Oryzias latipes: one gene and its partners. The main gene of each other region encodes a partner of the protein of the gene in region 2 in a complex. Links are inferred from orthologs where the notes say so. Each region holds a gene or a part of one and is shown on either strand. Other genes may lie near its edges.

What was found.
Region 1: the proteins of cdkn1b (region 2) and skp2 are in contact, whole or in part, in a crystal structure (PDB 2AST), measured with the Homo sapiens proteins. The link is inferred for Oryzias latipes from reciprocal best matches to the Homo sapiens genes CDKN1B and SKP2. Residues at the interface, in NP_004055.1 of Homo sapiens: Ala181, Gly182, Ser183, Glu185; in NP_005974.2 of Homo sapiens: Arg294, Asp319, Val321, Arg344, Tyr346, Asp347, Gly369.
Region 3: the proteins of cdkn1b (region 2) and ccna2 are in contact, whole or in part, in a crystal structure (PDB 1JSU), measured with the Homo sapiens proteins. The link is inferred for Oryzias latipes from reciprocal best matches to the Homo sapiens genes CDKN1B and CCNA2. Residues at the interface, in NP_004055.1 of Homo sapiens: Lys25, Pro26, Ser27, Ala28, Cys29, Arg30, Asn31, Leu32, Phe33, Gly34, Val36, His38, Leu41, Thr42, Asp44, Leu45, Glu46, His48, Cys49, Asp51; in NP_001228.2 of Homo sapiens: Met210, Ile213, Leu214, Asp216, Trp217, Glu220, Val221, Glu224, Met246, Arg250, Gly251, Lys252, Leu253, Gln254, Leu255, Tyr280, Ile281, Thr282, Asp283, Thr285, Tyr286, Thr287, Gln290, Arg293, Met294, His296, Leu297, Lys300.

The regions. Positions count from the first base shown.
Region 1 is NC_019870.2:24,271,580-24,281,581, reverse strand, and holds skp2 (S-phase kinase-associated protein 2), read left to right. Parts: upstream 1-3,279; 5' UTR 3,280-3,385; coding exon 3,386-3,399; intron 3,400-4,020; coding exon 4,021-4,274; intron 4,275-4,350; coding exon 4,351-4,462; intron 4,463-5,200; coding exon 5,201-5,344; intron 5,345-5,639; coding exon 5,640-5,774; intron 5,775-5,907; coding exon 5,908-6,006; intron 6,007-6,134; coding exon 6,135-6,262; intron 6,263-6,888; coding exon 6,889-6,940; intron 6,941-7,329; coding exon 7,330-7,437; intron 7,438-7,869; coding exon 7,870-8,089; 3' UTR 8,090-8,786; downstream 8,787-10,002. UniProt on the Homo sapiens protein: Substrate recognition component of a SCF (SKP1-CUL1-F-box protein) E3 ubiquitin-protein ligase complex which mediates the ubiquitination and subsequent proteasomal degradation of target proteins involved in cell cycle progression, signal transduction and transcription.
Region 2 is NC_019864.2:11,433,646-11,443,765, reverse strand, and holds cdkn1b (cyclin-dependent kinase inhibitor 1B), read right to left. Parts: upstream 6,150-10,120; 5' UTR 5,829-6,149; coding exon 5,402-5,828; intron 5,200-5,401; coding exon 5,084-5,199; 3' UTR 5,071-5,083; intron 4,281-5,070; 3' UTR 2,801-4,280; downstream 1-2,800. Other genes in the region: yars2 (tyrosine--tRNA ligase, mitochondrial), read right to left, coding at 7,307-7,466, 8,886-9,056, 9,644-9,799, 9,895-10,062. UniProt on the Homo sapiens protein: Important regulator of cell cycle progression. Inhibits the kinase activity of CDK2 bound to cyclin A, but has little inhibitory activity on CDK2 bound to SPDYA. Involved in G1 arrest. Potent inhibitor of cyclin E- and cyclin A-CDK2 complexes.
Region 3 is NC_019868.2:205,682-215,763, reverse strand, and holds ccna2 (cyclin-A2), read right to left. Parts: upstream 6,748-10,082; 5' UTR 6,380-6,747; coding exon 6,179-6,379; intron 5,872-6,178; coding exon 5,619-5,871; intron 5,522-5,618; coding exon 5,415-5,521; intron 5,345-5,414; coding exon 5,121-5,344; intron 5,046-5,120; coding exon 4,841-5,045; intron 4,763-4,840; coding exon 4,649-4,762; intron 4,474-4,648; coding exon 4,340-4,473; intron 3,847-4,339; coding exon 3,795-3,846; 3' UTR 3,400-3,794; downstream 1-3,399. Other genes in the region: bbs7 (Bardet-Biedl syndrome 7 protein), read right to left, coding at 7,531-7,664, 7,750-7,873, 8,304-8,407, 8,494-8,603, 8,784-8,948, 9,188-9,327, 9,544-9,612, 9,713-9,787 and 1 more. UniProt on the Homo sapiens protein: Cyclin which controls both the G1/S and the G2/M transition phases of the cell cycle. Functions through the formation of specific serine/threonine protein kinase holoenzyme complexes with the cyclin-dependent protein kinases CDK1 or CDK2.

The DNA of each region.
Region 1 (10,002 bases), on a different chromosome or scaffold from region 2:
CAACAAAGGGGCCCTAAATGTCTAAGGTGCGGTTAAAATTGGCGGGTAGGGTGCTAGGAGGACATCCGCTGCTTGCTGGCAGTGATGTCCAAGCACCCCCCCTACCAAAGGCCCTACATGTCTAAGTTGCAAATAAAACCGAAAGAGGGGGGGCCCACTCCATACGGCAACCATAGAAGGGGGGCCACTGCCTAGTAAACCCCCCCCAAGGCTCATCGCAGGCTAAGCCCCCCACCCCCTCACCCTATTATGAGGTTATATGAGGAAGGGGGTAATTTGGGGACAGCTGATAGACTGTCCCCCGGTGGTCAAACAGCTGTCCCCCGCCCCCCCCCCCGCCCCCCAGCAAGGGGGCCAGGCCCACCCAGCCCAGGGGCCCCACCCCCGGAGGCGCCGACACCCCAGGCCCAGCACCACCCCCCCCCACACAGAGAGAGAGGAGCCAGAAAGCGCCGGCCCCCCCCGGAGCAAGCCCAGGCCCCCACCCCCAAACGCCGGCCCTAGAAGAGCTCTGGTCAGGCCTCGACGGGACCGAGGCAGCCAACCGGCCGGAACTTTTTTAACATAAATATAAATAAAAACAGACAGAGACATTAATCCAGAATAACTCAAGTTAAAGCTTCAATAACGTATCATATTTTGCTCTCCAAAAAAATATATTCTGTCAAAATTATACAAATATGAACATGCTGTAGAACAAAAGAAACAAAGCCTGGAAATATTAATAATAAGAAATTACAAATCAAAAAATTCCGTTTTCTTTGCTCTTTTATCATTTTTTAGAGCTGGACTCCTGCATCATTTTAGCAATAATTTCTTGGTGTGTGACGTCCTGTGTGTGTCTTTATGAAACATATCAGAGGGATTGGATAAAAAAAAACTTATTGTGAATATTATTTTTAGGTCTTATAAAACATTAAAAAAACTAAATCATAGAACTCATCAGTGGGATTACTCCAAAAATATTTGGCTTTTCCCTAATTTTGTGCAACACCAACAGTAGAAATCCTCAATAAACCTCAATCCATTAGTTTATTTATGATCTCATAAAGTGCACCTGTTCTCCTGCTGTCTTTATGTCAAATACTGACACCAACTAAATGACAGAAAAGACACGTAATAAAAATATCTACAATAGTTGGTAAATAATGACATTATTAACATGAGCTGCTGAGTGATCCATCAGCATGTGATGATCCAGGTGTTAAGGTGGGCTGCGCTCCTCGCAGCCTGCGCCCACCACCCCTCCCCTTGCTTCTGACACACGTCTCTATGACAGGAGCGCGCAGCTGCGGCCTAGAGTTGATTGTTAGAGTGAAAAAGACACCAAATCACCTATGTTAGTGTGATTCACCCAGCCACCGGTGAGTTGCACCCCCCTCTCAAATTTTTTGACTTGTTAGGTTCCAAAACCTACCGCAAAGAGGTGTGGGCGCAAGTGTCTTGCAGCGGAGGGCGGCGGTCACGTGCACGTTGGGTCTGCTGTGTCGGAGCAGGGAATTGTGGGAAATAATCCCCATTGCCTGCTCTGATCGAAATTGGGTTGAGCACGGGTTTTTCTTCTGCGTAATTCCTTTTCATGTGGATGTTTTACGTTGTTTCACTCTTAGTTATTAACCATAAGTGTGGAGAGGGGAGAGGATTAACAAATAGGTGCAACGGTCTCTGTCAGACGTGTCAAAATAAAAGCGTAAAGTGTTGACTGCTGCAGGCATGTCAAAAGAAAAGCTGAAAGACTCCTCTTTGACTTAGGTATTCCCTTTTGTGTAACATTGCCGGCACAGAAAATGCTGCTCCTATGAAGTGCCTGGGCCACCGCCCACCTCGCCCATATCAAAAACCGCCACTGCGCACACGAGTGCACAACAGTACGAGCACAATTGAATAATCTAATACGAGCGCAAGGAGTACTAATCTACATTCAAAGTTAGGCCCAAAACATTCCTTTTTGGACAGGCTCATTGCCAGACAAGCTAGTAATCAGAGAATATTAAACTTACATGTTTAAATTAAACTTAACAATAACAATTAGTTTTTAGTTGGCTGCTAGAAGTTTGAAGCTGGGTAAACTATGGTGCGTTGTGGTTCTTTCCTTTATTCTTGTCATCTCCTCTCCATCTCTCCTCTATTCTTGATCCTTATTAATCATTTAGTTCTCCATGCCTCTGTTTGGTGCAGTGCGATTCATGTACTCTCCCTTTTGCTTCCAGATACCAGTTGGCTCATCCCTGCTCCTGTACCTGACCAAGTACCTCGTCTGGGGCTTGCCTCTACTACTGCTCCTACACTTGGCTGTGCATCCTGTCTCCGGCTCGTCTCGTGCCCCCATCCGCCCCCCAACTCAATCTGGATGAAACTCATCTGCTGGACTTTAAATATGTAGTTGTTGGGTTTGGTAAGCTCATCCTTCTCTAAGAGGTCTGGTACATCGCCTGTCTGTCCTGGGGGAGGATCCCTCGTTCATGTTGGCACCCCAGAGGTTTCTTCTTTTTCAAATCAGTTTTTCCTTACTGCGCAGGAGTGTCTAAGGGCAGAGATGCCTAGCTTAGTTTAGTCTGTTTAGTTAGCTCAGTTTAGTATTTTCCTATTAAATCCCATGTACTCATGAACCTTTTGATTTTATGTTTACCTTATTATTACCTGTACGAAGCCCATTGAGATGACTGTTGTTGTGATTTTGGGCTATACAAATAAAATTGAATTGAATTAAATTAATCCGTGCGCACGGTTTATCAGATTTTAATTCTTTTTTAATCCCTGGCACCTGGAGGGCTCCGTATCCCTACGACCCCGTGAATATTTACAGTTTGTTAACAGGGATAATTTCGTATTCAAGACAAGCAAGAGTTGCATTCAAAACAAAGACTAATCCTGTTCAAAACAGACACGTCAAATTATATGTGGTATTCATATTTTTTTATTTGAAGTTGTGCACAAAGTATTAGTTTTGTATTTATACACGTGTTTTGTATTGACAGTTATCTTACCCAATACTCGCCCATCTTGTTTTCTACTTCACAAATAAAACATTTTCTGAACAGCATATTTTTCTCTGTTCATTAATCACAAAGATGTGAATAAAGAAATACTCAGAAGTACAATTTTTAGCCTAATTTAAAATAAAAATATCCTCCATCAGAATTTATTTTTTAATTTTTTATCGAAATGAGGTCATTAAAAGGTTTTCTTATGTGGCTAGAGAGTAGAAAAAACGAATTAAACTTGAATGCCACATCGTCCGCAAAAAACGTAGGACGTGACGTGACAGACGTCTGGAACGTCATGACGTCAGTTGAAAGAGGGCGCCTCGCTGCTGGCGGCGAGTTTAAAGAGTCCCGACTGGAAAGAGCGGCATCCATCCCCGCAGTTTAAGGCGCCAGAGAAGATGTCCAGCGACAGGTACGGACTTCACAGCTGCTACGTTTAGCTAAGAGACTGCTTCGCTATCAAACACATTTACAATCCTTTCTGTTATTTAGACTTTTGAAATGTTTTCGCGCGTGCATCTCCCATCACCGTTGACATACTAGCCTAGGTCGCTCAGATCGCTCGTGTTAATCATCTTTCGGCATTTCTCGGATGCTGATCGCGGTTGTTTTTGTGGAGAAATCTGCTAACATCATGTTGTTGTTTAGTGAGTCGCTGATCCAAAGAGATCTGCCTGAAAACTCAAGCTGATGACCGATACCGCGCTTTTCTCCACGCAGGCCTCCACTCTTTTCATGATTAACTTTATTCATTGGGGTCATCTGTGGCTGAAATTCCATTTTCCATTTCAAACCCCCAGCAGTGCTGCATCTGTGCATTTTGGAAGATAAATGACGGCGCGTTTGTTTGAAAATTTGCGCGGTCCCGTCGCTTGTTGTTGTGTCCACGTCAAATATGGCGGGCGCGCACAGATCCCCGTCTTGAAGGAGCTGGTGAATCTGTTCCTGCAGGTTTTCTGGTTCAGATCCACGCAGCACTGACTCATCCGAAGGCTCGAACTCTATCGTTTCCAACTGTCTCTTCTCCATCCAGCATGCCCTTGCGGGATCTGCCACGCGCGGGCCTCCAAAGCCACGCGCTGTCTCAGTCCGCCAGGCTGCACAACAAGCGCAAGTCCAGAGGCCACCTGAGCCAAGGCCTGGACACCGAGTGCACCCCAACAGAGCTCATCCAGCAGTGGTCCCCCCCACAGAAGCACCAGAGAACCGCCTGCAAGGGCAAGGAGAACGACCAGCACACGTTTGTCCTCGCCAGGAGACCCAGGAGAAAGAAAGACTTCAGAGGAGGTGATCAGGCTGCTGCTCAGAGGGCTGCAGGGCTGGGATGTCAGCTGTCTCACTCTGTTCTCCTTCAATCCTACAGGCATTTCATGGGATCATCTGCCAGACGAGCTGCTGCTCAGGATCTACTTCTACCTTCCTCTTCAGGACCTCCTTCGAGTCTCTTTAGTCTGTAAACGCTGGCATCGTTTGGCGTGAGTCTCTGTCACTGAATGTCACACAAATATGCAGTCCAGTTTCATTTTCTATTTTAGCCCCAGTTTCAACATGCAGATTTATTTGGTTTTTCAGAATTTTCACTCTTTTTTTTAAATTACCCACTCTGATGAAAATGCCGTTTTTGACATGTTCTCGAGCCATTTTTCAGATGACGGAGGACATGAATGAAGAAAATCAAGCTTAAAAATGCATTTCTGAGTATTTCTTTAGTCAAACTGTTGTAAATAAGGAGCAGACAAAAAAATGCAGTTGGAAAAAGATCGTATTTGTGACGCACTGCAGGCGAGCCAGAAGCTCCCTGTTCCGCTCCATTCTTGATGCATTCGAATGGATCCATGTACGTCTTTCTGTTCTTTGTCCGAGCGAGCCGGCATCTGCCTCAAAACTGTATGGCTCGATAGCTTTAGTGTTGCTCGGCGCCAACAGTCCCGCCCACAATTCAGAGGTGAATTTCGAATGAACTCCTGCTGTCCTTTTGTTTTGCCTAAAAGCAGCATAATCCTGATCAAAGACCCCTCAGGATGCTTAGAAAATAGATCGGAGTGGGTTTTTAACTTAAAATAGGTTTTGAGATTCTGATGAACATGAAAGACTTCAGTACTACAGATGTTCAGTCTGCCACACAGTTTTCATTAGCTTCAACCCCAGAAGCGCCTCTTTGTGTGTGATGATTGTTTGCCGGTGTGAGAGCACTCTGCTTGTGTTTTCATCAGGTTTGACGAGTCTCTGTGGCAGAGCGTGGATCTGCAGGGTCTGACCAACATGGGTCCAGCTCTGCAGCAGGTGCTGAGGACCGGAGTCCGCCGCCTGCGCTGCCCGCGCGCCTTCGTCGAGGAGCAGCAGTTTGCAGGAACAGAGTGAGCTTTGCAGATGGTTGGACCTAGGCCTGCACAATAAATGGCAAATTTATTGCTTGCTATTATCATCGCAACATGGATCACTGATACTGCAAATTGCACGTTTTCCTCATATCATGCAGCCCCAGTTGGACCACAACCATCTGGTCCAGTTTTTTTTTTTTTTTTTGCAGACCTGTTTTCCAAGCACTATCCTCACTTTTTAGATGCTCAAGCTGAGCGATTAGACACGAAGACACACCAGTGAGCCACAGACGCCTTCCTTCACTGCAGGACCTTTTCTCTTTTTGTCCAGACCTCTGCAGCTGCTGGACATGGACCTGTCCAGTTCCATCATCCCCATTTCAGCTCTTGAGAGCATCACCTGCCGCTGTCTCCGCCTGGAGCGATTGAGCCTGGAGGGTCTGCAGCTCTCAGACAACATCATCAGGTGAACAAATGGTTGTAGTTTGGTTTATATCCACCATGCTTCAGAGTCGAGCTTCTCTTCAAGGCCTCCGGGTGCTACTTTGCCGTTCACGGTTGGTTTGGTCATCAGACTCATGTCAAACTCTTTGTTGCAGGAGTCTTGGGAACAACGTCGGCCTGCAGCAGCTGAACCTGAGCGGCTGCTCCGGCTTCTCTGCTTCTGTTCTGGCTGACATGCTCAAGTCCTGCTGCAGGTCAGTGAACGCCTCTAAAAAAACGCACAAAACTTAAAAATAAAGTAAACTAATTCATGTATGTGATGAGTTGATTTTGCATGCTATATTAGTGTTGTCATTGTGTCCTCGTGGGTTTTGTTTTGCAGGATAGAGCAGCTAAACATTTCATGGTGCGGCTTCAACAAGGACCACGTGAAAAGTGTTGTTAGTAATGTCAGCCCCAGAGTCGTCAGCCTGAACATCAGCGGGTACAGAGAGAGCCTCACGTTAGACGGTAAGCCGTGGAAACCTGATTCCATAGGAAGGGGACTCCTCCATCAGTTCTACATCAGAAGTGCCTTCGAGGAGAAATTCGACTGACGGTTGATCACACTGGTTTTTACAACAGCAAAGCTGTTTGAGGCTTTGTTTGCTTAACCAACCAATCCAGAGGATGGAAACAGAAATCAGACAACACAAGCTGTTATAGCTTAGTCACAACTGCCCTCACGGGTCTATATGGAGCATGTGGGGGGGCCCGCACATAACGTCAAGGTTGTAGATCACCCAGTGAGCCCATAGCCCATCTTCAAATCCTCCAGTCTGCACATAAAGCCTGTTAGTGCTGTTCAAATGATTAATGCTGTTATAGTTTAGTGTTTTCCTTTTTAATCGGATCTGATTTCCACAAAGTCTGTAATCAGGACCCCTGTTAGTAAAGTTCTTTCTTTATTTTTACATTTAAACTCAAGGTGATAATGCATACAGGGGGAAATGGAAGTGTGACCAAACTCTATGCATTACATTTTTTTAGTTTTATTTTCAATTTTCTTTTCCTGCAATGCCAAGTGTGATAGTTTCTGGGAATAATCATGAAATCTTTTTGCTGTCACTGATGGGAATGGCGTGCGTGTTTTACAGATGTAAAGATCCTGGTTGACAGATGTCCTGAAGTTCAACACCTGGATTTGAGGTACCGTCCCGCTCCAGCCCAGAGAAACAGAAACACCAGATGCGTTCATTCAGAACTGCTCTTCATTAAAGTCCCACTCCGATCATCTATTGTAAAAGGGTTCCCAGTTGTCTTTTAAGTACGCTTATGCTGTTTTTAGCAACAATCAAAAGCCTGTGTGGTTCTCTAGGACACAGAGCAGTTATATAGAAATCCACCTCTGAGTTGTGGATGGATTTGTTGGTGCTTAATTATCTTTATATATCTCCATCATGAGAAAAATCCCACAAAAACATTTTAAAAACACAGTTTTTAATTGGAGTGGGTCTTTAAGTAAAGGGTTCTCCTCAGATGAACTGGATTCCTAAGTTCTGTCTCTATCAGAATTTCACTAAGTCTTTGTGTTTCAGTGACAGCACCCTGCTGATGGCTGACAGCTTCCTGGTTCTCAAACAGCTGAAGGATCTGCAGCACCTGTCCCTGAGTCGCTGCTATCACATTCACCTGGCTGCTCTCACGTAAGTCCTCACCTGGAGCTGCAGGGTGGATCTTCAGCGTCCTCCGTCCTAATGAATCATTGCAATGAGAGAGGATTGGACCACAATGGACCATGCTCATTAAACATGAACCAGGATATTCAGTTGGTCCTTCTTTTCAGTCACCTGTAGGTGGTAAAATTAAGTCTTTTTTAAAATTTGATTGGGATTAAATGTAATCGTCACAGTAAGCCGTAAGGCTGTAGCTTTGTCTCTTTACAGTTCAGTAACCCCTGACTCATCATTCTTTAGATGCATATAGGATCATGTGCTCTGTTCTTTGTTTAAATATAAGCTCTTTGCAGAAAAAGGGTGGAAATGTGTAAATGCTGATTGTTGGCTGAAAAGTGAAAATCTGGTTGGTTTGAACAAATTGAAGTTCTGCAGACTCAACTTTCTGTGTTCTTCCTGCAGGGATCTGGGACAGACGCTGCCCTCTCTGCGCCTGCTGGACGTCTTCGGCCTCGTGCAGGACAACCAGCTGCCGTCTCTGAAGAAGGAGATGCCTCACGTCAGCATCAACTCCATGCCTTTCTCTAGTGTGGCTCGCCCTACGCCCGCCAGCAAACTCCCGGGGTCCCACGGCGACCGCAGCATGTGGAACAGGAAGTGCCGCCTCAGCTTCCAGCTCTGACCGCGGACTCAGTCCTGTTTTGTTTTTTTAAAGGGACAGTTTGAGCTGCAGAGCAGGATCTACATGTCAGTTCTAGACGAGGCTTTAATCTCTCTGGTACCAATGACCCATCAGTCCTCGATGCTATGTTGGCAAACTCAAAGAGAATTGTGTCATTTAGAAAACATTTGAAGGTTTAGCCACGTGTAGTAAGTTTGAAAGCATTTTAAATCTGTTGAATGTTCTAATAATGTTAGAACTTTTAAAAGGACGACACTCGGATCAAGGCATGACCGGAAAATGCTTTTGTTCTTTGCTGCTGTTTGAAAGGAATCGGTGAGCGGTTTTCCTTTTGCTGTCAAATGTCTGGCTTTAGTTGGTGCTGAAAGCAGTGTTATGTCATTGTTGGATGATGGGAGGAGCCTTGTTTGTGGTTCCAATTCCCTAAGGCTGTTATTTTTTTTTTATGCCTCTGTTCTAAGTCAGCATTTAATGATCCTTTTTAATGGATTTTACCTTCAGCGATTGTTGGTTATCTGTTCTCATGTGTTTGCTTTTAGAGTCTGAAGCACAGGAACCGAACAGCCAATGATGCTGCAGGAGGATTTCACAAAGGTTATATTTTTGTAGTAATCAGACTGATATCTCTAATGCTCATTCATGATGACTCAAAGGTTTGGAATGCAAATGAACTACCCATTAAAATCCCTTTTCTTACCCTTTCTTGTCTTTTATGTCACCTAAAGCATTTTTAAAGACGTCCTTTGAATCAAATCGCTGCTTGGTTAAAACTCTTAACTGCACGTTATATCCGAAAAACATTCCTTCTTGATAAGGAAGGTGGTCCTCTGAGGGCACTAGTTTTACAAAATATAGTTTTGTCCTCACTTTTCTTATTTTTGTGCTCTAGGTTCTTTAGTACTCCACATTATTTTTGATTCAAAAGAAGTGGAAAAATTCAATGGAATTGATTTTTGTCTCCTCTTAATTTGAAAATGCTTTGCTTTCCGAGTTGGTCAGGCATCACATCATTTTGTGTCAAAATAAAAAACAAGCTAAAAAATCCTTGTGTATAGCGAAAACTAAAAACCAGCTTAGGGATGAGGGAAGAACCATCCACCCCCCCCCCCCCCCCCCCCCCCCCCCCATTTGGAGCCTCCTGGAGGAGGGAAGGAGGTTGTCACTTAAGATTTTACAGTACATGGCTCCGCCCATCCTCCCATCTACACAATGAAGTAGTCTTTTGCAGAAAAACACCCCAAAGCATAATGCTTCCACCTCCATGCTTGACAGTGGGGATGGTGTTCTTGGGGTCATCAGCAGCATTTCTCTTCCTCCAAACACGACAGGCGTGCACATGTACCTTCTTAAGCAGGGCAACTGTGCCAGCTCTGAAAGATGTTATTCCAAAGGGTTTTCTGTGTGACTGTGGTTCCAGTTGCTTTGAGATCATCAACTAACTCCTGCCTTGTTGTTTTAGGCCGATTACTGGTCATGTTGCACCAACAGTTGTCCCCTTAACCCTCCAGCTTCCTACTGATGGTTTTGTAGTTTATTCCGGTCTTTTGCAGGTCTACAATCTTCTCCTTTAAATCCACCAAAAGCTCTTTAGTCTTTCCATGTTGGACAGTTTGGATTCTGACTGACTGATGGAGCATCAAAGAAATTAAAACCGGATAACTGCTGGTGTTGACGGACTGATTCTGTGGACAGGTGTCTTTTTTACAGGTAATAAGTTTAGATGTCTGCATCCAAGTGGCAGGTTGGTTATGAGAGTCTAACTGGTCTATGTGAGCCAGAGCGCTTAATGTAGTGCAAGTGGTTCAAATAATTCTGTCCTTCAATGAAATGCAAATAATTTTATATAAATTCTTTGAAGTGGATTTCTTGATTTTCCATCTTTCACTGTTTAAATGAACCTACCATAAGAATGA
Region 2 (10,120 bases):
GAAAAGATAACCTGTTTCTGTTGATATAGCAAGGAAGTGTGAATATTTTGGCACTTGCAAGGTGTTGCAGAGAGGAACGGCCAACCGTTTCATCCACATCTTCGACTGGCTGGCTGACTGGAATTTCCTCGAGTTCTCTGTGGTTTTGTTGGTGAGGTGGGAGCTTCCATGGAGTGCTGCACGAATGCTTTTAGGAGAATTGCTACTGGGACAAAAAAATAAAACAAAACAAAAAAGGGTAAAGAAATGCATCACAATGAACCCAAAACGAGCGTGACCTCTGATTACTTAACCCCCTTGTCGTCTAAATTTATTTCCTGCTATGAAAATAAAAGAAATTCACTTAAATTTTTGCTTTCATGTAAAATTAAAATAGAGCCAAAGGTGTTTGATGCACCTTTGCATCAATAGGCTTCAATGGGTTTAGCATGTCAGGACATTTTCTGCAGAACATGAGATGAAATTAGAGAAGCAGCGTTACAAGAAATGGCAAATAAGGCATGATTTTGGTGCAGGACACAGAAAAAGTTAGAAATACATTAAAAGCATGCCGAGGTGTAGATTATGGAGAAATTTCTCGAACTTTAACAAACTTCACTATATGTAACTGTTGCAGCACCATCTTGAGACTATAAACTCAATTAATTTTGACTGAAAACTCACTGCTGCACTCAAAGAATAGGATTTAGTCCAGACTGATTGGTATTATTTTTTTTAACAGAAAATGTATTTTTTTCAGCATAACAGGTTGGTTTTGCACATCTGGATTTGCAATATTGTGTTTAGGTCGTCACACCGTGCAACACTTAGTCACCAAATTGTGTTTTTCTCCCCCCCAAAAAAAGAAATACCAAACTGGAAAAAAACCATAAAAGTTCTTAAAGACTCAGTCTAATCATCTTTTGATCTATTATAAAAGTGTGTCTAGAGGCCTTTTATTTACAAATATGACGTTTTTAGTCTAAAAGAAAGGATTACAAACTACAAAAACACTTTTGTAGTTTTTGTAACCCTTGTGCTATCCTAGGCACTTTAACATTGGGAGTTGGGTCATCTAGACCCACTAGACAGTGCTCTGAACCTTTTTTCTTCAATGATTTGTGATCTTCACTGGTGTCCATGGATTACATGAAATCTTTCCACCTTTATCGACCTTTGTCATGGTAGGGAGAACACGTCAATGTAAGGGTGGGGTCATAGGATAGCACAAGGGTTAAGGACAGATTTTGCAGAACGATAGGAGTTCATTGCAAATCTGCCTGTGAGATTTGGGCAGGACTGTTGGAACGGAGTAAGCCAGCTCCCCTTCCCATCATCCATCTGTTTATGTGCTCTCCTGATAACTTACAGCCCCTCACACCCCTAACCTAACATTACCGGTGCAACAAAAATGGTGAGGAATATTGGAAATTACCCAGCCGGACAGTTTTGTGCCAAATGGCAACTCAGACGAGGAAAATAAAGACATTTATGGATCTATTTGTCTGCAAGAATGTCCGCCATTGTGAGGAAAATGCTACAAGAACTTGTCAAAAACAAAGTCTTTACATCAAAGAGAAATAGAGAAACTGTAATATGCACTGAGTGCTGTGAATTGACTGAAACATTCACACCTCAGCATCCTCCGCTCAAACCATTCATGTGACAAGTTACATCCACAGAGCAGGCATCAGTCGTTTAGTTAGCAGCCCAGTCAGTCAGTCAGTCAGTCAGTCAGGCTGCTGTTTGGGTGGGGGCTCATAGACGCGCCTTTTGTCTGCAGAGGAGCTCCAGACACAACAGTGGCCGGCTTCGGCCCCTCACAATGCCCCTCCATACAAAGGCCCACACACCGGGACAATGGTCTGAGCTCAGGGTGGGGGGTGGAACGGCCCAGCTGAGGTTACCCACCTGCACGCATCAGGACAGGACAATTCTCCACCCACCCCACCCAAACACCCCCCCCCCCGTTCCTCAGTTATCCAGCTATAAAATGCTGCTGCAGGTGTCTTCCTGTTTTGGTGGCCCCCGAGGAAGCAGGGAAATTCTGAAGGCATTCATTTTACTGCCGTCGCTGTGCCTCGTCAGAGACGGGGAGAGGGGCAGGGACGTCAGGGCAGGTTTGCACGTGGAGGTGCAATCTGCGGATGGAGGAAAGGCATCAAGGTGTGAAGATTGATTTTTTTAAAAACACACGAATCTTCACCAAAAAAAAGGAGCAAAACATTAGTTTTTACTCCTGTAAATGCTCATTAACTTCGTTTTTTTATTATGCAGCAAGCTTTTAAAATGTACCTAAAACATCGGTTACATATTTCCTCATCTGTTTTATTATTTACCAAGCACAAATTATAATTTTTTTTCATCTTTTGAGTCAATAATTGTAAAACTAGGATGCCCCACAAATGCCTTATTGAAATATGTTATATGCTGCTTAAATATATTTTTGCCTGAACAATTGCGCATTTCACTTCAATAAATGTAAAAATAATTCAAAAAAGAATCTTTTAGTTTGTTAAAATGATTATGTTAACCTGGTACAGAGCAGATGTCTTACACACACCATGATTCCTAAGAACAAATGTTTAACCAATAAGGTAACTGAAGGAGTCTGCAGCAGTTACCCCATCAGTTTTGGCTGGTTCTGATTGGTTGGCCAAAATGTCAATGACTAAAAAGAAACTCACTTCCTACTTCCAGATCTTTTGCATTCTTAGCTCTGAATCTGTGAGAATTTTTCCAAAAGATTTAAGGAAAAATAAATGTGGTATCCGTGTACTTAAATGTAACAAATTTCCATAAATGTGAACAAAAAAAAAAGTCAGATTCAATTCTCTTTTAATTGATTGCAACACATTTTATAACCACACATTACAAAATGAACAAATATTTTATCAGGCTCAGTTTGCAACCTTTTTGACAAAAAAAAAAAAAAACTACCCAGAAATTTATAAAGTAAATGCCACTTTGGATAACCGTAACTTAAAAAAAGAATTACTCTACATTTAAAAAAAAAAAGTTTGACATAAATAAGTTAGTATAATTTCTCAGTGTCTTTTTTATTTTATTTTTTACAAAAATATGTACGCATGTACACTGTAAAGGTTTACACGATCACATGACTGCGTTTGTGAGACGCGCCGTTTTGTGTCTCCATCCAGGTGGAGCCTGCTGTCTTTGAAGATAAACCAGATGTTAGCGGGGAAACAAAGAAGCTTTTGGAAGCCGGAACCTCCATCTTTAGCAGGTTAACAAGGGTGGAAAACAAATAAAAGCATTCAAGGTTATCACAAAGTCATACGATGTGAAGTCAACTCTGAAAACCAAATAAAAGCGAGTGTGTATTTGGTACAGGAGAAACATTTAACTTAGGTTTGACAGCCTGGAAACATGTGCATGGTCTTTGTCCTTCAAAAAAAAAATGAGTGCCTCACAACTCTGGGGATCGAAACATTTACAAAATAAAAGCATCAGAACTCCAATTTTAAAATAAATATTAAAAAAAAAAAAAGGAAAATAAAAGGTACTTGCTGAAATTTTTAATTTCATCCTGTGCCATTTCCTGTGGATCTTTAAAAAAAAGAAAAAAGAAAAAGTGGCCTCAACACAAAAAAGGGAAGAAAAGAAAAACACGTTCATTAGGCAGATGAGCTACATTTGTACCATTCCTTGCTGTTGAGTTAGGAAGATGACGGCATAAAGGCACACTGTTGAGAAACTAAAACCATGATTTTCTTTCTTTTTTTTTAAATGTAGCATTTATGGACTGGGTCAACACCACAGTGCCTTTCAAAAATATTAATAATAATAATAAAATGCAAACAGAACAGCATTTTGGAAACATGTTTCAAACCGAACACTTCAAGTCAAATCAAAATTCACACCTCTTTTACACAAAGGATTAAAAAAAAAAAAAAATCAATGTTTTTATGTGCTACATAGAAAACATATATATTTATTTATTAAATTATTTACACACAGGTAGTTAAAAAAAGAAAAAAATCAAACCTAATTGCACGCTGCTACATGGACTGCTGTTAGAGGCAGTAACATTTCAATGAGTGCCACAAACTTTAGTGTTTCTCTTCAGTGCTTCAACAGCGTCCTCCCCCGTCCTCAGGAGAGCTGATATGTTTCTGATGCTGTGTAGATCCTCGTCCAAAAAAAGGAAAGAATAATTAAAAAAAAAAAAAAAAGATCAACGCAGTCTTAAAAACAAAAAAACAAAAAAAAACACATGCACGCATACGCAAACACACTCGTACAGAGAAAAAAAAACTGGGAGGGGCACATCTTGAGCTCTGTTGGAGATCAGAACAAAAGACAAAAACAAAGAGGTTGAAAGGTTAGTACTTTTTTTTCTTTTAGGAGATGCAACTACTACTGCTAAAGTATTGACAGTGTTCTGAGGTATGACTGAAAAAAAAGAAGAAACTAGTCATTTCCAAAAACAAAACAAAACTATCAACTCAAATAAAGCTCGGCTGCATACCATTTACAAAAACGTGCAATTTTTTCAGTTCTGTTAACTTTTATTTTTACTAAGAAGAGACGAAAATGAACATGGGATTTTTTTTTACTTAAAGATAAATCGAAGTCAAAGTTCCGCTAATTTAACCTTGACTTTTTTTGCCACAACCTTTAAAGGTTCACACCTGACAGCTTAGAGCAGGTTTCTGTGCTCCTTCTCTCTTGTGGGTCATAGTAGACCTGCAGAACTCTCGTACTCTCCTCTGCAGCAGGGAGTGTACATGTCTGCGTGTGTTTCTGCGCGCGCGCGCTCAGAGACCTGCCCCTTCCCGTCCGCGCGGAGGCCACTGGCTGCTGACGTGTTACTACTACACTGTTGTTCAGCTTGTTGTTTACAGTTCAGCAGACGAACATCGGCCGCAAGGAGGAAAAAACTTTTTTTTTTAAAAATTCTTTATTGGCGTGTCATATAAATCCTCTTGGTTTAATAAACAGACTTCACTTTTTTGCGCTAGAATGCGTCAATACAAATAAAAAAAAAAATGATGTAAAATTTAATATCTTTTTTTTTTTTTAAATTCGAGGTTAACAGTTTTTTTTAAATTGAAGTGGTTCGCTCACCGTGTCGCCGTGCTCACGTTGGTCTCTTGGGGCTGGTCTTTCTGGGTGTGTGTTCTGCAGACTGGCTCAGGCTCGGACAGCTAACCTCCTCCGGGCTGGTGTGAGACTTCTTACTTGGGGCCGAAGGGTCTGCAAAAATAAATAAATGAGTAAAATAAACTATATATTACAGAGAGAAAAAAATGGTCGGGGTGCTCAATGTTCTCTGGGATTTTACGGCAGTTTCCCCCGCTTTACGACCCCCTCATCCCGCATACCAGTACCGCGAGCACAAAGCTGCCGCCCGGCGATCTGTTACACAGCAACGGGTCGTTTGATGCTAATGTCATACCGTGACACGCAGGTCTCTTCCTCAGCCCGCCGCACTGCTCCGTGCACTCCATCTGAGCGTCAGAGCGGCTGGGAACTGTCCCGACACAGTCATGATTCCCGTTTAGATCCACATTGTTATTCCCGGGGCAAACGCCTCGTTCTCGCCGCGGCAGGCGGGTGTAGAAACTCGGCAGGTCTCTGGCGTTCACCAGCTCCCACTCCAGCCTGCTGTTGGGCAGCGGTGTGTCAGTCGCGAAGTCGAAGCCCCACTTGGCGGAGGCAGCCTCTTCAAACTCCCGCAAATGTACATTTAAATCCCTCTTTAACTCTTCGTGGTCCACCGAGCCGAAGAGGCTCCTGCAGGCTGACGGCTTCGGGTGTTCCGACACCCGGGGCTCCGTCCTCTCCAAAGTCGGGCTCCCGCTCGAAAGTCGAACGTTAGACATGGTTAAGCCCCCCGGAAAAAAGGTAAAAATTTCAAGCAGCCGGGAGCGTCCAGTTTTCAGGCGAAAAACACACCTCAAGAAGAAAAAAGAAAAGAAAAAAAAGGTATGTCCTCCTAGTCACGGGGAAAGATCCAAAACAGGCGTGAAACGACCATGCGCACGTCGAGCTGGAGGCAAACACGGCTGCGATTTCCTGAGCCGAAGACGGCTTACGCCAATCATCCAAACGACGGGAGAACGAACCAAAGCTCGCTGTCAACGTCGCTCCGTACAGCGGGAAGCGGAGGCGAACCTCTCGGTACCCAATATGGCGATTGAGACATGTAGTGGGGATTGAGAGGGGAGGTTGACTTTGGAGGGAGGGGGAGGAGGGTTACACATGATTGACATACGGAGCCATTTAAAACCCAAGAAGCGCACTCATTGGATGGAGCTCTTTAGACCCGCCCACTTTATTTAAGGTAGACCGAATAATTGCATAAGGCATGCTGTTCTAAACATATTACTTACCTTTTTTATTTTTTTTACAAAGTAAATAAGTTCACACATTTGATGTAACTTAATGTACAAGTTTCAAAAAGTAAAATGGATTAAACATTTTAAGACATCTAAATTTGAAGAAAAAAATTGGATTGCAACCATACAAATAGTGCCAATATGTTCTAAAACACACATATTCAGTATTTATTTTAAACATTTTGGATGTACAGTAAAATTAATAAATACAATTAAAATGGAGTAAAATCCAAAACAAAACTGAAATTGTTGCATCATATTCTTTCAATGGACACTAATAAATGAACCTGTGGTCCTAAATGGAGATAAAGTCCAGTAAGAGGACCCCAAACTGAGCTGATTTAGTAAAAGCCTAATAAACATTTTAATTCTAAAAAATTTTCTTACCGTAACAAAATCTGTACATATATCGGAATTATTGACTGAAAATATTTATATATGAAGTAATAACATATAAAGATGAAAATAAATTTCTGCTATCCTAAAGTCAACTGTTTTTTTCCAGATTTATCATAAAGCTTCTTAGTTTTTACTTTTTATTCACATGCAAAAAAAAATAAACACCCCTAAATGAGAATAGAGGGCAGCTTGATGCTTAAATTGAAAGTGGCGCAGTCGTCTTTAAATAGAACCAAAAGCCTTTTGACAGAAATGATGCAATCTAATTTAGCTGTGAGCAATTATTTACTCAAAGGGTCAGAGCAGGATAGGAGGTGCAGCAGTGTTCACTCAACCACTGTCAAGCCAACAGCGCCCCCTAGAGCTTCATCTAACACACAACTCTGGAAGCACAAATCTTTTAATACCTTTAAATACTAAAGTTGTCTGTACGATTACATTTTTAACAAAGGCCACATGGACTTACAGAGTCACCATTATGAGTCCGCTACAGTCTGCTTTAGTCGCCTACCTTGCCTGTAAGTCCTTTACGGCGTACAGGCACTGCGGTGGGCGGTGCAGCCTCAAAGACCGAGCCACTTGATGATGTAGTAGTTCCTCTTGCCCACTCTGAGCAGAGTGAGTCCGTTGGACAGGACGTGGAGTTTGGGGACGAGAACCTGCTCCGGTTTGTCCGCCCGTGTGTGGTTGATCCACACGGCTCCGTCTGAAACCATCTGGTACCTGCAAGCGAACACGACGGCTCAGTCAGGATCCAAATCCCATTCATTTCAAGTGTTTTCAACCAAACCCAAAGCAGCAGGATAGAAATCTTTGTGTATTTCAACATTTAGTGGATTTGATTCCTCCGACAACATCTAGGGGAAAAAAAGGTTTGGTGGAAATGTGTGAACACAAATCTTTGCACAAACGCTGGTGTTTGTATGTAAAGAAAAAAATAATAATAAAAAGCAACTTTTTGAGACTTTCATGGTAAAGCAAATGGAAAAGTCCACAGAACAAGTTTAGCATAAACATGAATATACATATGTGCACCAAACCAATGTGATTGTTTTTGTCCCCATTTGGTAACAGATTTAATGCTTTGATCGAGTGGGAATCCAGTAGTTGGGCTACAACACATTACAGGCAATTGACTCAAGAGCTATAAAGCCAATAAAAGAGGGACACTGCTGAATTTTAAAGCTATTTTTTTATGTTACGTGTGTTTATTACAGTGACCCTGATGAGCAAATCCAATCAACAAATCAGTCAATGCAAAAACTACATTAGATGATTTGTCTTCGAGTTTCTGATCACAGTCAAAGTTCAGTGGTTGCTCAATCAACTCCACCGCAGTTTTGAGCCAAACATCCTTATGCTTTTCATCTTTAAAACTCAAACATCATCGTCCAATCGGTGATGTCCCATAGTACCTACCTTTTCAGGTTCCATATTTTGTTTCATTTTTTTAACATTTCCTTTTTATTTTTACGTTTTAGTTTGTAGAATTTGTTTTGATTTCTAAAATGTAATCCTTTTTTAGTATTTGTTGTGCTTTTTTAATTGTCATCGTGATCTTTAGTATCTTTTTCCGTTGAGTGATTTGTTGGTGGGATTTACACTTCAGGGCCACCGTAGTTTATTGATGGCATCTTCAATGTCAGCAAATTCTCTCGTTTGTGAAAGGTTGTCGTCAAAGATCCTCTTTTTGCATCAACTTTCACATCTCACTGCTTTGTGAAACTAGTTGATGTGATATTCCGCTGCAACGGGCTACACATCAGTTGTTTTTTAAAGCCTGAACTAAGGCCTCCCTGCAAACATCTTTCCTAGTTCCTCTCCTCTGTGAGAAGCGCTTCGATTTTCCACTCCACTATGTTGGCTTCTCTTTTTTGGGGACGTCTGTTTGCACCTACTCTTCTCAGGAAAATCTTTATGCACAGCTGCATGGAGGTTGTATTGAAACGTACATCCCACAGTTTAAGAAAAAAAAGTCAAACTTGTGCCACATGTGCGTCTAAAATCCACTCCGCTTTTTTTTAAAAATATGGTCCCAGACGAAGACTGTTTTCACATGACTTAACTCGTCCTGGAATCAGTAAAGTGGCTGCAAACTGAAATACTGCAGTACATTTACGACCAGGCAGTGGTAGAGCTCACCCTCTGGGACCTTCAGGGATGGCGCTGACCAGACGGCAGGCATCGATGACGGAGATGCCCGGCTCCAACAGCAGCTCATGGAAGGGAGCCTCCCTGAAGAGCTCCTGGAGCTCCTCATCGCTCATTTCCTCCAAGGCCCGCACGCTGCTATGATACAGTGCATTGGTACACCTGCAATGGAGAACACACACAGATGCAAACAATGGTGCTGCCTGTTTTCTGGAGTAAGAGTTTCTCCCCAGGGAGGCGTCCGGACTAGATGCCTGAGCCACCTCAACTGGCTCCTCTCGATGTGGAGGAGAAGCGGTTCTACTGCGAGCTTTCTGTGGTTTACAGAGTTTCTCGCCCTATCTCTAAGGAAGCGTTCAGCCACTCTACGAAGGAAGTTCATTTAAGCCGTTTGTATTCAGGACCTCTCTCTTTCAGTCATGGCCCAGAGCTCATGACCATAGGTGAGCACTGGAACGAAGATGGACCGGTAAATTGAGAGCTTTGCTTTTCGGCTCAGCTCTCTCTTAACCACAACGGACTGGTACAGCTACCGCATAACTACAGAAGCTGCTCCGATCCGTCTGTCTCACACTCCGGTCTTCCTTCACTCGTCAACAAAGATATTTAAACACCTCCACCTGGGGCAGGGACACTCCACCCACCCAGAGACTAACTTTCTCCTGCTGAGAACCATGGCCTCAGATTTAGCGGTGCCAAATGCACAAATCCATAAACCCTTAATGAAATTAGAGGGCGCTGATCCTGACCTTTTGGCGCTCTCCAGACCCTCTTTTCCATGAACCAGCTTGGTCACTTCTGCAGCCAGCCGCTTGTGTGCGAGTCGTTTACCGGGATCTTCCCTTTGCAGCTTCATCAGACTCTCCACTTCTGCCAGAGGCAGGAAGGTGAACAGCTTCAGGTACCTGCAAAACAGCGACAACAAAAAACAAAAAGAAAAGATTTTGCTTTGACCCTGAAAAGTAATCAGTAAACGCTGGCACTCCAAATGCGGACATACCCCTCCACGTTGGCGTCAGGCTGCCTGAGGAAGAACTGGTAAAGTTCAAAGGGGGAGGTCTTGTCTCTGTTCAGCCATACAGCGTTCCCTGCCGTTTTCCCCAGCTTGTCCCCCATTGAGTTGGTCACCAGCGGTATGGTAAGGCCGTACACGTCCTCACCACTCACCCTGCAGAGAAACAAGCGTTTTATTTTTAAACAAGATGTCCGACATAAAGAGTCAAAAG
Region 3 (10,082 bases), on a different chromosome or scaffold from region 2:
TTTTTTACAGCAATCATCTGTTTAGAGTGCAGAGCGTGTGCTGTGTTGTCCATCATCCTGAGCACCTTCAGCCTTTTCATCCCCTCCACAGGATGGCGCTTTGATTGTCCAACAAATAAAATGGTCTCAAAGAAATCTGTGAACAATGTCTCATGTTAGTGTAAAAACCGCTGAACACTCAGGCATCAGTTGTTCCCAACTAGGATGGAAATGCTTTTGAGTATATGGATCTTAAATCATTTCAGATGTCTTAATTAAGGCCAGAAACTGTTTGTTGTTTTCACATCCTATGATCCAGTCGCATCTGCTTTGGTACAGTAAATGACTGATTTTCTTCTATGTGACTCACACGAAGCTCAAACTCTGGAGAGGGACCGCAAATCTCTTTATTAACTCTGCAGGAAAAATGATACGCTCTGCTTTTTCACTCTAACTGCAATAAGAGTTTTTTTTAAAGACATTTGGTTTTAAAAAGGAGAAACTGAAAGGGGAATGTCATGGAATTGTTGCTGCAGCAGTGTCGTGTTCACAATTCCTATTCTACTGTTGGAGAGCAGCACTCCATTCTGGATCAACTTCTGCCTGTGGCCCTTATTTGTGGAGTTGTGGCCAGTTTTTGCCTCCTGAACTTTTGGCTGTTTGCATGTAATCCTTGTGCTATCCTACGGGGGCAAGATGACCATTGAGGTGTTCTCCCTACCATGACAAAGGTGGATAAAGGTGGAGAGGATTTCATGTAATCCATGGACACCAGTGAAGATCAAGATCTAGATGACCCCACTCCCAATGTTAACATGCCTAGGATAGCACAAGGGTTAAAGAGTTGCTTGTTTTACCACCAAATGGTTCCCGAGCTCGGCTGTGTCTGCAGCTCGCCGCTCCCCCAGGGGATGGCTCAATGGTGGAGGACAAATTTCACAGCCACGAGCAGAACAAAGCTTACGTTTCAAACTGACGCCATCTTTGTGTCTTACATCAGTTTGAAAGGTTTGACCTCCTCTCAAGCAGAACTTTACTCCAAAACCCATCAAGGCAAAGGTTACTCAGCAAATTCAGAATTTCATTGATGCTTTCAATTGTATGTGTTTGTCTTCCGTCTGTTTTTCCTTTCATCAGAACAAATCAGGCAGCATGAGCACTGCTGCAGTACATTTCATGTCTGGAATCATCCATAAAATATTCAGCAGCTTTAAATCAACAGTCCAGCGTTTTTCATTGGGGAGGTTTGTGAGGCTGCTGATACTCATGTAGTGTCAGGAAGCATTTTGCAAGAAGAGCGAAGCTGGAGGAAAACAAGCGTGCATGAGATCTGCAGACGCTGCCAGGCTTCTTTAATCTGCAAGTTTGGTGCTGAAGGCAGCAGATAAGCAGACTGTTGTTGGCTTGAAATAACCAAAGTGTGAACCTGTGGAAGAAGAAACCCTGAGGAGTTCCAGATGAAGTGTTTGTAGGCAGACCATTAAAATCCTGGGGGGTTATGAACATTTTTGTTTTCCCACCAAGACTTGGATTAGGGGAATGCTCAGAATCAGTGTGAGAACTATTTCAACTATTTCAGTGCAGCTAACATGTTTCCCTTTGTTCATGCTACAACACAAATGCCTAATCATATTTCACCATGTCATAGTGAAATATGACGTGGTTGGGCTTCACTCAAAGAAACATTGAATATCTGCAAATTCAAAGAAAATCCTAGTTTGGAAGAAATACAGCTGGAAAAATCAGATTATTTCCTTTAGCACCGATTCTCTACAGACTTTGAAATCAAAAAATGTGTTCCTCCACTTTGGAGTGAAAGAGCTGAGCTAGAATATGTTAGAATGGAATTTGCATCAAATGCACCTGGACATGGCACAGCATCGGCTGTTGATGTTGTTGCTTCCCCTGGAGGGTGGCGCTCAGCCTGTCCGCTGACATACTCAGGATTCTAAAAAGCTAATGACAGAGAGGCGTTCATTAATGTCATTAGCAGAAAACTGTCACCGGCCAATTCACCAATGAGATGAGAGGAGTGCAAATTGCCCACTTGATGCATTGCTTTAATCACCATGAATGCAGATGCAGATTTGACGCCGGCTTGCGCTTTTACATTGACAGCAAAGGTTGTTTGTGTGAATTCATTGCTGAGATGAAAAGAGATTGCTTTTTCTCAAGATTAGCTTTATTTTTGCAAGAAAAAGAGCTGGGAGACAGTTCCATACTCCCCAACAAACATGGTTTATACTTTAGGCACACAGAGCAGTAAAAAGAAAAGGCAGTGAAGATACAAGCTTGGATTTTTGGAGGCAACAAAAGCACTTTGTCTTACATTGATCGGCAAAGGCACATTCAAGCCCTGCGACCAGCCCCGGTGCTGGCAGGGATTGGCACATTTGTCCGTCTCTCACAACACACGCTGCAGCCTCCGGTCAGAGTGAGGTTGCCTCACGGAGCGCACGGGCTGCAGCACCGACTTTGCCAGAGAGTTTCTGAGCTGTTTTAAAAGCATCCAGAGCAGAAGCACCAGCAGGATCAGAAGTCCCAAGAGCATCCCCAGGTACAGGCTCAGGTTCCAGCCCCAGCCCAGAGCCAGAGGCAGCGAGGTGGACGCCACCAGAAATTTTTTGGGGGCAGGCATGCGTTTCAGCCTGCTTTGGCCAGCCTTCAAGTCTTTATTCGCACTTCCCCAGAGGGTTGGACCGATGTGATGTAGCTGCTGGTAGCTCTGTGCAGGCATCCATCCTGCTGGCTTTGCCGTTAAAGTCCATTCAGGATCCTGGTTACATCCCCATCACCAGAACGAGCCTCCAGCAGGAAGGAGAACCTGTTGGCTTCTTAACCGGCCATTCTTTGAGCAGGAAAAGCTTTCCAGCAGCTGGTCTGCTTCTCCCTCTGCCAGCCTCCAGTCACAAAGCCAGCCTCCATGTTCAGTAAGGGGGGGGGGGCTCCTTTCCCATTGGCTGCCTGGAGTTTTCCCCTCAGCAATAAATCAAATAGCCAGGTGGAAAATGCCAGTGCTGGTTCCTTAGATTCCCATTCATCCTTTGCACTCCATACTGAGAGAATTTACTGGTCATGTTCAGGGTTGCACCTTTGTTTCCCCAAAATAATCTAAAGATGTTGATGTGGAAAGAACCAGACGGCTTTATTCCCTCCCCATCCAACATGCATCTAGAGTAGTATCAGCTTTACTAGCAAGTCAGTAGAGCCCAGATGTTTATATTGTATAAATAAACCCTAATTTGGTTTCAGCGAAAAACTGAAGGCTGGATGTCAGACACAGCTGGAGGAGGAGACAAACCCTTAAAGTGTAGCCCTGTGCATTCTGAGCTCCTCCCCAGCAAAGTTAAACCAGAACAGTTCTCTGAAACCAGATTAAACCAGCAGCGGTTCTTTACTGCCCTCATGTGTACAAACGGATAGTCTTCAAAAAGAAGTTTATTTATAAGAGCCATGGTCTACAGTGCAGGAAGCCAGTGGATGAAACGGGACACAGATCATGGAGTCAGCCTTTAATCTGCATCACATCAGGCAGTCTAAGATGAAGGAAACTGCCCGGCTTCTACAAAGGCTGAACATTTGCAGATTAAAGCAGCACTGAATGAGGACAGACCGACACTAAAAGCCATTGATTACACAACTGGATGCACATGGCATAAATGCTGAGACTAGAAATATAAAAATATTAAAACCTCTTTAAGGAAAAAAGAAAAAAGGAGCACCACTCCAAAAAGAGCAGAACATGCCGTCTAAAACTGGTACGTCATTTACAAAAAATGATTAAAAAGACTAACAATACATCAACAACAAGCAGGTCACTTCAGCAGCAGCTTGGAGGGAGCAGCGATCGTGGAGACTTCAGAGTATCTGTGGAGAAAAGACAACGTCAGAGTACGACAGCGTCTCCTGGAGGACTGCCAGCCTTCAGGAATCTGCATTCTGATTACACGACTGAGGATTTTTACAACATTCTCAGCTTAGAGGACAAATGCTACACATTTCTGAAACCATGTTCCTCCCTGCAGTGTCACTGAAGTGAGTAACAGGCCAAGGAGTTTACCATCAACAGTGAAGATGCTGGAGTCTGGAGCCGCCTTTTGTTTCCATGCAACTTTTCAGAATTATCCGATCATCTTAACACCTCTAATCTCGCGGTACAACTAAAGACACATTTTTAGCCATCATTTAATTGAATTTAAGGTTACTTATTGTAAAAAAAAAAAAATGTGGTTGGGAAGTTTTTACTGCTAGTTGAGCTCTCAGAAATTGTCAGATTCCTCTGATACTTTTTTAGAGTAATACAAATATTTTCCAACGATCCTTAAATAGAAGTACACAAAATCAAAGTACGGCAGCTCACCTGGAGGCCTTGTACTTCTCGCGGACAGACTGCTGGGCGTGCTGAGCGGCGCTCAGGAACATCTTGTGAAGGTCTTCGATGCACGGCATCAGGTCTACTAGCATGTAGCCCGTCATCTCTGCCAAGGATTTGGGCTGGAGCAGAGCAGAGAAAATGTCAGTGAACCAATTTTACATTTCCACAACCACCATGAGCCTCAGCCTGGCATGTGACAAACAGCCCCACGTCCCCATAAAGCATCTCAAACCAAAACATTCAAGCGTATAACCCTTCACATTCCTAACTTAAGTTGGAGGGAAATAGTCTCACCCAAGAGCCGCCGGTCACTGCATGGTTGGCGAGGATGTAGGCTGCAGCCGCCGTCTGCGATGGCAGGTACTTCAAGAAGGGGTCTGAATCTATCAAACTCAACTCCCCGAGGTACTGAGGACAGATCAAGCACCGTCAGAGCACATCCATATGCTTCTGTAGACCAACACGACGGACCACATGAACACTCACCATTGCCAAGCTTTCCACCTGTTTGTTGACGCCGTGGTGGCAGAAGTACTGAGTAAGAAACTGGTTTATCGTTGGTGCTGCCAGATCAAATGACAGGACTTTGAGCACCAGATGCTCCATCCTCAACACCTGCTTCTTGGTGTACGTGTCATCTGTGATGTAGACGAACTCTGCCACCTCAGGAGGGTAAATCTCTTCGAATTTCCTGCACATACAAAGTCATTCAACCTTTCCGAACCAAACTAGTCGTGTTTTCCTGGGCAGGATAATTGGCACATACGCAGCCAGCAGCATGGCAGCAGTCCCAACAAGCTGGAGTTTGCCCCTCAGGACGGACATCGACGAGAGGAAGCGATCAATGTAGTTAACGGCCAGATACAGCGTTTCATTGTGGAGCTTGTACTCTTCTCCAACCTCCACCAACCAGTCCACCAGGATGGCCCTCATGCTGTTTGTGATGTCAGGCTGCTTCTTCATGTAGCCGGCCTTCGGTCTGGTTTTCACCTGAAACAAATACCCGATTGTTGTAGCAGAGATGACAGGAGGGGAAGAAAGGAAAAGGAGAGTCTCTCACCTCCATCTCCCTCAGGTACAAATGAATTTCAGCTGCATATTCTGGGACTTCGTTGACATTAACTTGTTTGTCGTCCACCTCCACCAACGACATGTCCATGGGAGAATCTGAAAGTCATTTAGTGCACAGATGATGACACCTCACTTTGACACCAAAGCCAACATCGGTCATTACTAAACAAGCCAAGATTCTACAGCAGCCCACCAAAGCCGGCTTCCACAACCAACGGGACATCGAGGGCAGCCAGGGGCTGTCGGCATGTCAGGGCGTTGTGGACGGCCACAGGAGAGCGAGGGGCCGGGGCCCTGGCTCTGAGGGCCTCAGACACGGTCTTCTTGGTGCAGGCGCCATCAGGCTCATCCATGTGGATCTGGAAGGCCGGCTGCTTGACAGGCGGCTTTTCCAGGACGCTTTTCCCATAATCGTCAGCTTTACAGGATGAGGGTAGAGCAGAGTCCTGGAGGCAACAGAACACAAGAAAGGTGAGTTTCTGCTCTGAAGGCAAACAGCAGCAGATCTGCTTCAGAAGACAGAACAGTCTGTAAGGTAAACTAGGAGGAGTGAGGCTAAAATGGCGCACAGACTGAACATGAAACTACAAAGACCATCTCCAGAAGCAGATCTAAGACAGGTTCAGATGCTAAAGGCGAATGACTGTTATCACGGTGCTAGAACCGAGCCACAGCCGTGAGGAACCGGGAGCACAGCCGGATAACCGGCGGCTGGCGCCCCGCCGCGGAGCGGGCCGTGCGGCGGCATGCTACCTGCTTTGCGCCGCGGAGGCTTTGGGTTTTGTTCCGCTGGTGGTTCTGCAGAGCTCCCAGCACGGTTCTGTTGGCAGCCTGTTTGGGCGGAAGGTTTTCGCTGGCTGCAGGCCGGGCTTTGATGGCGCCTCTCAGCCTGCTGGACGGCATGTTCTCCTGGTTTTGGAGCTCACTCGCCGCGCTTCGGTTTGCCGCCGACATGTTTCCTGCAACAAACACTCGCTGCTGGCTTTGACCTTTGAACTCTTCGGGACCCCTCGTCGTTCGTAGCGGGGATCGGGTCGGGTGCTAGCCTGAAGTGGAGCCGAATAAACTCAAAACTAAACAGTTGAGATGGCAACGAAAAAACAGAACAGCAGCGCCACAGCAGAGGAGCGCGTGAGCGGTAGAGCGATTCCAAAGCGCGGGACACAAACACACTACGGTTCCATAGTCACGCGGGTCCACAGCACAACCGACCAGGACACGAACCACTAGCAAGCAGACATTTAGGAACAGGGTTCTGCTTTCTCTCAGTTCAAGTAGCCCGCGAGGATTGAACCAACCAATCACAAAGCGCACAGATGGTGACGCTGCAAAACTACTGGAGCCGCAGTGGTACAAATGTCTTGATTGCAAATTCAAAACCGGTTGGACCCGTTTGTCTGCAGCGGCACAGAGCAGCAAACGAAAGGAAACGTCCCTGCTCAAGCAGACGGCAGTCAGGACGACGTCCGTGGATTTTAACCGTCTGCAGACTCTTCTGAGCGTGTTTATTTACAAAAACTAAAATAAAACGACACTTTCTGAAGTGTTGTCAGATTTCAAGTGCTTATGAGCTTATTTGACCTGCAGTTAGTAAGGATTCATTTAAAGGAAAAGGTTCTCCAAATATAATACACTGGATTCTCTGTTTAAGGGTTTAATGGCCATTATAATAAAAATAAAGAAGAACAAAGCACGTCACTGAAGATGTGTTCAGTCATGTGTTGTGGGGATTGAACAGGCAATGAAAAACACCACAAAACATTTCTACATAGTTTAATATGGTCTGATCTTTAAAAAATCATATGACATCTTTTGACTATTTCATTTTTAAATAGTTTCTCACAGAGATTTTCATATAGAAATGCAGTCCGTTTAGCTTTGATTTCTGTCTATGAACCTGTGATATGTTATTAAATGAAAAAGAGGAGTCTGTATTAACTACCTGGAGGAATTTATAAAGTCTGGATTTAAGCAGAAATAATTGTGGATTGTGAAACCGACAGCTTCTGAAAACAGCATGGCACCATGACACAAACTATAACTGTCATTACATAAAGATGCAACATAGAAGCAGAACACGTGAATGGATTTTATTTCATCCAACCTCAAACATCATTGAAAAATTCTAACAGAGAGTTTAGATCATAGTTATCCAGAATCTCCAACAGAGATGACACCTTTGTTTTCACATTCTGGCCTTTGAACTTGAATTTATCAATGAAGAGGTCAGTGATCATTCCTGCAGGAAAAACAAATATAAAGAAATAGAAATTAGTGTCAGGAGACCAACAGAAATTAAGATAAATGTGGCTTCTGCAATGTACCATAAAGCCTCTCCAGATGTGCTGGCTGCTTCTTGTATTCCTCCAGAAGACTGGCAGATTCATCCAAGATGCTTCGATACTCTGGTATGAGAAAACTGGCGTTTCCCTCATGAACCTGAAGCTCCTGACAATTCCAGAAGAGATGTGGGTGAAGTGAATGTACAGAACCTCAAGTACATCACCAAACATCAAACCTTCACAGAGAAGAGTCGCTGGTTTCCTGATTTTAATTTCAATTCAGCAGAAAATAGGAATAAGACATCCTTCATTGTAGGAGCTATATATCCCATTGTGATATATTATTTTGCCTATTTCAAATACAATTATATACATTCTTTAAAGTGCATTTCTCGCTTATTTTCCATCTCTCTCTGTTTAAATGAAGCTTCCATCTGTCACTCCATTTCAAAGTGGGCAAACCTACATAATCAGCAAAGGATCAAGTCCGTTTTTCCTCCACTGTAGTTGCAGATGTACTGCAGTTCTCGGCTGTCAGTGACATCTGAAATGAATCTTTCCTTCATGTGTGCAGATGAACACAACAGCCTGCTTACTCTCAGAGCATCAACAAGCTGGACCTTTTTAGCCAACAGCAGCTGGTACTCCAACTTTGGATGAATCATTCTGAGAGTGTGGCTCACCGAGTCATCATTGATATCTGAAAGAGAAATGCATCTTTGAAATTCTTTTCTTGTCTTTACATGCAAACAAAAGCATATGTGAACGCAGAAGTGAGGCACCAACCATAAGAAATGTTGAGATTGATTTTCTTTTTGGTTGCTTCTTTAGAGAGAACATCACTTAGAATAGAAATAGTAGAGATGTTGTCGGACTGGAAGTGACCTTCGCCTTTGCTGAAACAACAAATTATTTACACCACAGATGCTACGTTTAAAGATGAAGCTCAGGAGGAATGTATGTCGCATGTAAAAAAAATCCACATCAAAATATTTGAAGCCGGATTGTAAAGCAGAATTTTCTTCCTTCATACATTGACTGGAACTTGGGCGTTTTTACCACACGGCTGCATTTACCAGTAGGTGGCTTCAAGCTGTGTGCCCAGAAAAGTATTGCGAAAATAGAAAGTGATGTCGTCTTCAGCAGGTGTTTTTTCTGGCACCTCTGGCAAACAGAAAACCACCCAGGAGTGGATCTCTGCAAAACTGAACTGCCCCACCAGGCTAAGACGGTTCATGGGTCTGAAGAAGACAAACAGACAGAAAACAAGACAGAAGGTCACTGAGTGACAGCAGCACTGGCTGACCTTATTAAGGTCTGCACTGAGGTTTGAACACAGCCCAGAACTACTGTACGGTGGTAGTAACATAGATGGTTATGACTATTGGCCTGAAAAACCCCTCCATAAGTTAGAATTCACTCGGCATACTTTGATTGGGCTATTTCTTCTCAGAAACTCTCATCACAGACAGTCAGTCACCTGGCTGGGTCGATGCTGTGGGTGCGTTGGTGGAGGGACAGAGGCTTGATCTGGTACTGGCGAACCTGACAGGTCTTGGGTTGCAGCCTGGGGGTTATGTAAGCCTGCAGGGTCCCATACTGTCCCTCAATAGACCTCACCTTGGAAAACAACCATGATAACACAGGAACAATGAAACGCATGTTTCAGCATACTGCACAGGGATGTTCAGCTAAGAAGAACCAGTCTATGAACCAACACAACTAGTTTTGGTCAAGTAGTTTGATCGAAACAGATGTTTACGGTTCATGTAATGTAACATACTCCCACAGGAATCGGCAAGCTCTGCTGATGTCACAGTTCCATCTACTGCATACCTTCAGTTCCAGTCTGGTGGTGTTGGCCTGACATCTGTATGTGGCCAGGAGAAAGTTACCGTTGGGTTGCTGCAAAAGGAGTTAGAAGAGTCTGAACATTAAGGCAGATCGGTGGCTTTCTTTGAGCAGAAAGCCTTGGCCTTTCTGCAAACAGCTCCATTTAGCTCACCTCAGGGTCACATTCACTGAAACTGACAACGGCCGAGTTCTTATCCACATCCAGCAGATCAATGGGAACATCACTCTGGGAGCAAACTGAAAGTTACATTCTGAAGGGTTTTTCTACGGGATCAGTTTCAACTGAGGACCTGATTTTCGGTTTACCTGAAGCAGCAGATTATCGATGGCAGTCTGGACCTCCAGAGTGAGGCTGTAGCTCGCATCGTCCTGGCAGAGAGTGAACTTGTCATTGATGCTGAACACGGGCACAGCAGAGACGGCTGTGCTGGACTGAGTGGTCTGCTGGTACTGCTCACGTCCCTGCAGGACTTTCCCCTGCAGCTGTTCCAGCTCCGCTCTGAAAGGAACCAAAACTGACT